Callithrix jacchus: one gene and its partner. The protein of the gene in region 1 purifies or fractionates together with the protein of each later gene. This does not show direct contact. Links are inferred from orthologs where the notes say so. Each region holds a gene or a part of one and is shown on either strand. Other genes may lie near its edges.

Evidence for each region.
Region 2: the proteins of NPC1 (region 1) and PON2 purify together in Homo sapiens (affinity purification with mass spectrometry; 3 studies listed by BioGRID and IntAct, with this or other methods). This does not show direct contact. The link is inferred for Callithrix jacchus from reciprocal best matches to the Homo sapiens genes NPC1 and PON2.

What each region holds. Positions count from the first base shown.
Region 1 is NC_133514.1:66,652,480-66,656,301, reverse strand, and holds part of NPC1 (NPC intracellular cholesterol transporter 1), read left to right. Parts: intron 1-1,701; coding exon 1,702-1,802; intron 1,803-3,822. UniProt on the Homo sapiens protein: Intracellular cholesterol transporter which acts in concert with NPC2 and plays an important role in the egress of cholesterol from the endosomal/lysosomal compartment.
Region 2 is NC_133512.1:54,261,803-54,265,624, forward strand, and holds part of PON2 (serum paraoxonase/arylesterase 2), read left to right. Parts: intron 1-3,244; coding exon 3,245-3,410; intron 3,411-3,822. UniProt on the Homo sapiens protein: Capable of hydrolyzing lactones and a number of aromatic carboxylic acid esters. Has antioxidant activity. Is not associated with high density lipoprotein.

The DNA of each region.
Region 1 (3,822 bases):
GGAGTTACTCTGTTTCAAGAATGTCACCACTAAAAACATGAGTTATACTCATGAAAAAACAATTAGCTTATGCTCCATACCCTAACCCAGCATTCTCCACAGGGTAGATGGTGCAAGCGAGCCATGGGTAATTTGAAGAAAAAAAAACACATTGAATGTTACATAATTTTTATAGTTGGATGAAGAAAGCATTTACTCTGTTGTGTGAGATAAAAGTCTACAAAAATGAGGGGCGGAGGTGCGTGAGCCTTGTGTTTCCTCATTGCGGGCATGGTTCCCACCAGTGTGGAGGCTGGTGTGAGGGACTGGCAGGCTCCTGGCAGGAACCTGACTTGTTTCTTATTATGCTTGTGCGTGTCCTCATAACCCCAGGCCTGCCTCTAGTGCTGTTTCCTTTCCTCTTCCTCTAGCTTTTCCTGGACTTTTTCACCTGAGGGTCCTGCAGTAATGGCAGGTGGTCTGCCTGGAACCATGCCCTGACCTGCTCTGTCCCCATGTCATTTGAAGGCAGTAACAGCTACCAGTTACTCAGATTTAAGGCTTTATCCCTGAATTTTGCCTTGCCCTCGCCTTCCTCATGGGGTTTTTACAGGTCTGAGCCTCTGGATGGTCCCTCACATCCCTGCTGTGGATGAAGGGACTCGGCTGCTCACTGCAGGTCACCTGACCTCCCTCACACCATCAACCATCCCCTCTGATGAGGGGGTCATATGCAGAAGCTTTTCAGCACCCAGAGCAGTTCTAGCTGATGGTCTGTCTGAAACTGCTGGTTCCCTCTCCACGGGCCGTCTGTCTGTCTGCACTGCACTGCCAGTCGCCTCTTGCCTGGCCCGTTGCACAAACCTCTCTACTTACTGTTCTGCCTGCTTCCTGTTTCTTTGCCATTTCCAGACCTTCTTCCACTTTGCCACGAGAGCTAGCTTTGTAAAACAGCTCATGACATCCCTTTCCCAGAAAGCTCTCATTGTTCCCCAGTGCCTCCAGGATAAAAAATCCAAACTACTTAACTGGCACTGAGTCCTTTTATTTCACAGTCTGTCTGTTGCTCTTCCCAGACTGGCCCCCTTCTTTAGAAGCCCCCTCAGTGGCACCCCATGCCCTAGGAGAGGACTTCTTTTATTTAAATTATGTTTGTTAAGAGATAGAGTCTTGCTATGTTGCCCAGGCTGGACTCAAACTCCTGGGTTATAGCCATCCTTCTGCCTCAGCCTCCTGTGTAGCTGGGATTAGGCATGCCACCATACCTGGCATACAGGACTTGCCAAACCACCATCTTGCTCTCATTCCCTTTCACTGTTCTCTCTCCCTCCTTTTTTCCTCCTGCAGTTGTAATTGTGTGAGACACCTTCTTGTCCTCTCTCTTTGGTGAAATCCCCCTCATCCTCGGAGCTCTGGGTCTGTACGGTCTCTTCCTCTTGGCTATAGTCTCACCTTTTACTGTTTGCTCCCTCCTCTGTGCCCACATAGCAGCATGCACCGTGTACCATTGATGACACTGGGCAGTATTTGCCTGTCTCTTGCCCAGTAATTCTGAGCTACCAAAGGCGAGTACTGGAGCTGTATTATTCAAGTGAGAAACCTCAGGGCCCATGTTGTACTTAGAATACAGCCGGCCTCATCAAATGTTTGTATTGTAAATGTTTAGGTCTCTGTGATATCTTGAGGCCTTTCTAACGGGGAGGTGTTTTCTAAACTTGGCAGGGCTCCGGCCTCTCTGAATGATACAAGTTTGCTCCATGATCCTTGTCTGGGTACATTTGGTGGACCAGTGTTCCCCTGGCTTGTGTTGGGAGGCTATGATGGTGAGTAAGAGAAACCTTAACTTTTTCTATTGGGTAAAGTCATCTCGGTTTTGTCATTAGCTGTAATTATGAAGATTTCATAAATTGAGCAGTTTTGTTAGTTAATTTCCTACCTCTTGAATTCCAAATATAGTACCTCATTTGGCTTTGGGTTTGGGTTTCATTTTGGATTTAAAAGAAGTGGATTATATTAGCCATTTGTAGATCACACATGCCTTTGAGAAGCTGTTGAAGGGTAAGTACCTTTCCCCAGAATAATGCAATTGCTAACTTCAGCTTCAAGGAGGTCATGGGCCCTTGAAGCTCATTTATAGACCCCTGAGGGAGTTCATGGACCTCAGGTAAGAATCCCTGTGAAGGAGAAAAGTTAAAATGTGAGGTATGTGGAAAAAGAAACAAAGTTGATGGATTTTTTTTTTTTCTTCTAAGCCAGTCTCAGTTAGTTATTTGGATGGACACTCTTACAGTATGAAGAACAGCTAGTTTGCTCTTTTCTGGTTCCTGAAGCACTTTAGAACCAATTGTACTTGATAAAATGAGGTGATGGCATCAATAGCTAGACTGTCGATGGAAAAAAAAAAAAATGAGGTGATGATTCATGTGACACCTTTGGCATCTTAAGCCAAATTACAGGCTCAACAGGTTTTTCCCAGCCAATGAAGAACCCAAATAGGTTTTCTTCTCCTCACTCAGTGGTAGGGGAGAAGTTGCAATCTGTATTTAAAATTTACTGTGCATCCTAGAGGAAAATACCATTTCTAATTGGTGGAAAAGGGATGGTGTCAGCAACTGGCTAGCCACAGGGGAAACAGTTGACTTTGATCTCTACCTTGTTCCCAAAGTGCTGGGATCACAGGTGAGCCAGTAGCCAGTAAATTTTTTTTTTTTTAGACAGAGTGCAATGGTGCCATCTTGGCTCACTACAGCCTCTGCCCCGGGGTTGGAACAATTCTCCTGCCTCAGCCTCCCTAGTAGCTGGGATTACAGGTATATGCCACCACACCACACCCAGCTAATTTTATATTTTTAGTAGAGACAGGGTTTTGCCATGTTGTTGAGGCTTGTCTTGAACTCCTGACCTCAGATGCTCCACCCACCTCCGCCTCCCAGGGTGCTGGGATTACAGGCGTGAGCCACCACACCCGGCCATAAATATTTTGACTAAAGTAATGAAAAGTTTAGCCGGACATTGTGGCACACACCTGTGGTTCCAGCTACTTGGGAGGCTGAGGCAGAGAGTTGCTTGAGCCTGGGAAGTCAAGACTTCAGTGAACCATGATAGTGCCACTGCACTCCAGCCAGGGCAATGGAGTGAGACCTTGTCTCTAAAAAAGGCGGGCGGGGGGAGGGAATGAAAAATAGTTCAGCTTATTTGGAAGGCAGTTTGGGAGAATTTATCAAAGTTAGAAATGTATGCAGTTTTTGATTAGTGATTACACTTAAAGAGTTGATTCTAGCCAGGTGCAGTGGCTCATGTCTGTAATCCCAGCAAGCTTTGGGAAGTCAAGGCAGGAGGATCGCTTGAGCCCAGTAGTTCAAGTCCAGCCTGGGCAACATGACAAAATCCCATCTCTACATAAAATGCAAAAATTAGCCAGCAATGGTGGTGCATGCCTGTAGTCCCAGCTACTCGAAGGCTGAGGCAGGAGGTCAAGGCTGCAATGAGCTGTGATCACACCACTGCACTTCAGCCTGGGCAACAGAACAAGACACTGTCCCCTGTCTCCCTCTCACCCCCAAAAAAGAAAAAAGAATTGAAGAATTGATTCTACAAGTATGTGTTTTATACATTAAAATATTTATAAGCTATTTTTAATAACTTTATAATAGAAAAAAATGCAAAACTGCTCATCAATGGGAGGGATTGGTCAAAGTGTACTAGAAAATATTCGTAGGAAAAGAATAAGGAAACTCTTCACGGAGCAGTCTCCAAGATACAAAATTTTAAAATGTAATGTGCAGAATAGTATTTTACTATTTGTGTGGTTAAGAGGGAAAGGGGAAGAATCTATGTGTTTGA
Region 2 (3,822 bases), on another chromosome or scaffold:
TCAGGTGATCCGCCCACCTGAGCATCCTAAAGTGCTGAGATTACAGGAGTGAGCCACAATGCCCAGCCGCAATCTGTGTTTTAAATATGCATTATTAAAAGGGATATATGAGATCTTCCTGTGGATACTCAATACTAACATGCTATTTTAAATACAGCATCTACCCATCTGTCTATTACATATTCAACTTTAAGCAAATATTCTTGCCATTATTATTTATTTTCAAATATTATACCAACCTTGCCCTATTGCTTTCTTTCTTTTTTCCCCTGAATAGCCAATCATAAGTGGAAAGTCATTGACTGAGTTTATTTACACCCTTCACTTTGCCTTGATTCTTGTGAGCTGAAAAATAGTATCCTTTCTGGGCATACCATAGAAAGACTTTAAAAACAGTTGGCTTGTGAATATTGTTGAAAATGGCTTGCAACAATATCCATTCTAATTGGAAATCCAGATAAGAGGTCAGATGAGGAGGTTCTGACCACCTACCTCCCTGGCTTGGGCAGATGTAGGAATTCTTGGCATCTTCATAGGTCCAGTTTTTCTGGAGGAAGAAGTAACCAACTCTTCTGAAGCCTGACTGTAATTATTCTGTTTCCTCTCAACATCCATTATTTTCAGTCTCTGAGACTCAGGAAGAATATGGAAAAACTGGAAGATACTTAGAAGGGAGTCACCACACTAATAAAATAGTTGTTAGACTTATGAGAAAGGTGAGAGAACTCAGCTTGGAATAGAATGAGAGTGAGAACAGTCTTCAGGTTCCTGACGGTTTTTATATGAAAGACTGTGAGCAGCTGGTTATTACCACTGAGGGAATAAAGAAATACTGTGGGCTTTAGCAGAAACACCAATATATATATTTAATTAAAAAAATAAGGTTTTAAAAGAAAGGTTTTATTTAATTGCCAACACAGAATGAGTAAAGTAATATTTATAGTAGAATTCTGGGTTTGTTTAGAAGCACATGCTTGCACATGTGTATATAGGCTTAGGAAAAATTACTGGGACCACTAGTCCAACATATTCAGAAGTAGAGATGCAAAAATTCTGAATAACGTAGAACGCAGTCGCATTGAATTTTTTGTTTGTTTGTGGTTTTGTCGTTGTTGTTTTGCAAGGATGTGTTCTTAGAGATTTTTATAATCTAGAATTCACCTATTTCAAGATTTCTCTCCAGCCCCCATAGTAATAAATCTGAAGTAGGAGGGATGAGGTCTCCAAGCACACAACTCTATAGCCATTTTAGCTTGGGGGCATATTACAGTTACAAAGATCTTATAGCCATGTCAGTAGAACTTTTTCTGCTTTTTTTCTGTTATCCTCCTTTGGTTATTTGACTTTGATTTTTAAACAAATTTAGAAACATTCCCAGTTTGCTGCTGTTTTTCATTTACTTGGTATTGTCTCTAATATAACCCAGAGTGTACTGTCTTCTAAGTGAAGAGCTCCTACATTGTGGGGATTGTTTGTTGTTCTTCCTAGCATTTTAGCTCATCCAACCTGACCTATTTTACAGTTATGGGTTGAGGGTCACCTCAAAATTAATGTCACACTTCATGAATAATTGGATGACATACAATAAAAGGTAAAAAATATAAACAACAATGTGAGTGTACTTCACACCACTGAACTGTACACTTAAAAATGGTGAAAGTGATGAATATTATGTGAATTTTATCACAATTAAAAATAAATTTATAAAAAGAGAAAAAAATACTTAATAAGGAGCGCCAGCATAACCATGTCTAGTTATTACCATCTGATAGTGTTTCCTTTGCATGGAAATCATGCTATTGTTTTGGGGACATTCATAAAGAATAGAGATTAATAATAACTGAAGTGGCACTGCCATGTAACGATAGCATAATTCCAGTTTGTTCTACTTACGCCGCCTGCCTTCCATGAAAGTATACGATTATAGATCATTTTAATTGGAGAGATTTCCTCTTATATCCAATTTTATACGTAAAGTGAGACTTTTTTATTGTGCCGTTAAATTTGCTTAAAATATGACTTCACCGTATTAGTAAACTGAATAAGGTAATGCATTCAAATAAAATTTATCACCAAGAAGGCTTTACCTTAAGAATGCAATGATGAATCACATTTTTAGATAGGCTGATAGGTAATTTAATAACTGATTTAAAAGAAAAGACGTAGATCATCTCAGTGAGTACCAAAAAAGCATTTAATAAAATTTAATACTTATTCCTAGAGTTTCAAGCAAACTAGAAGGAGAAGGAAAATTCCCACAAAACTACAGCGAACATTTTTCTTAATGGTGAAGCATTACCTGCATTTGCATTAATGTTCCAACAGGAAGAAAATACCCAGCAATACCACAACCCTCAGTAATCTACTAGGGTTCTTAGGGATTCAGTAAAACAAGAAAAAGAAACTTGAGATAGGAAAGAAAAAGACAAAACTGTCAGGAGAAACAGGGACTGGCTCAATTGCCCAGGCTGCTGTGCGGTAGTACAGTCAGGTCACTGCAGGCTGAACTGCTAAACTCCTGTACTCAAGAGATCCTTCCACCTTAGCCAAGTAGCTAGGACTACAAGTGCTCACCACAAAACCCACCTAATTTTTTTTTTTTTTAGTAGAGACCAGCTATGTTACCCAGGCTGGTCTCAAACTCCTGGCCTCAAGCAATCCTGCCATGTCAGCCTCCCAAAGTGCTGGGATCATAGGCATGAGCCACCAGGCCTGACCTAAAGCTGTAGTAATTTAAAAGCTGTTATACTGGCACAAGAATAGGCATGAGACATTAAAAGAACACAACAGAGAGTCCCTAAATAGACCAATATGTAAGAGATCTAGCACATGATAAATGAGACATTTTGAATCAGTGGGAAAAGGATGGACTATATGCCGGGCACTGTTCCAGGCAGTGGGATCTAGCAGTGAACAAACTTTCCACAGTCAGTATGCAGATGTCACTTTTCTCCACTTTCAGCTTTCCCTGGATCACCTTGTCCACCAACCTTCTGATTACCCTCTGAAGAGAATAAATCCCTGATCTTCTGTATCAACTCAACAAAATCAGTTATTTTCAGCTTTCAGTGTTCCAGCTCCCCGTTATTATTTTTTCTATTATACTTTCTCTGTTTTTTGAGTTTTTTGTGGCTTTATACCACTACTGTAACCATATCTCTATTTCTCCTTCATGTACAGTTCCCATGTTAGTCTGTAAAGACACTTCAGCCTTTGTATTTAACATTTTTCACTGTTTTGGAAGGGTCTGAAATTCCCAGGACTCCACAGCTTTGCACCAGATAAGCCTGGAGGAATACTAATGATGGATCTAAAAGAAGAAAAACCGAGGGCACGGGAATTAAGAATCAGCCGTGGGTTTGATTTGGCTTCATTCAACCCACATGGCATCAGCACTTTCATAGACAATGGTAAGAGCCAATGAGCTACCAATGTTTTGAAACCTGTGATGGTTCACAAATGACTATGAAAAAGAGATTCGGATCATATTTATAGGAAGAGAAGAACAATTAAGTCATGAATGATTTCTGTATTCTTCAGTACAAACAAGTTGTTCATCTGCCTCTTGAGCTGGCAGTAAGTTATGCTACATTTTGAAATTTCTAACAGTTAACACCTGATAGAATGTTTAGATTTTATAATCTTTTCATATACCTATGATCATTGCATTTTAAAAAGAACTGTATTTTTGAATTAAACTAGAAACAGATTATGCATAAATTCTGTATATGGAGTGGGAAATACTTTCTTAAAGGTCAGGGAACCAATGATCAGAAATAACACCAGACAGACAGCAATAGGAAAGACGGAGAAGAATGATTT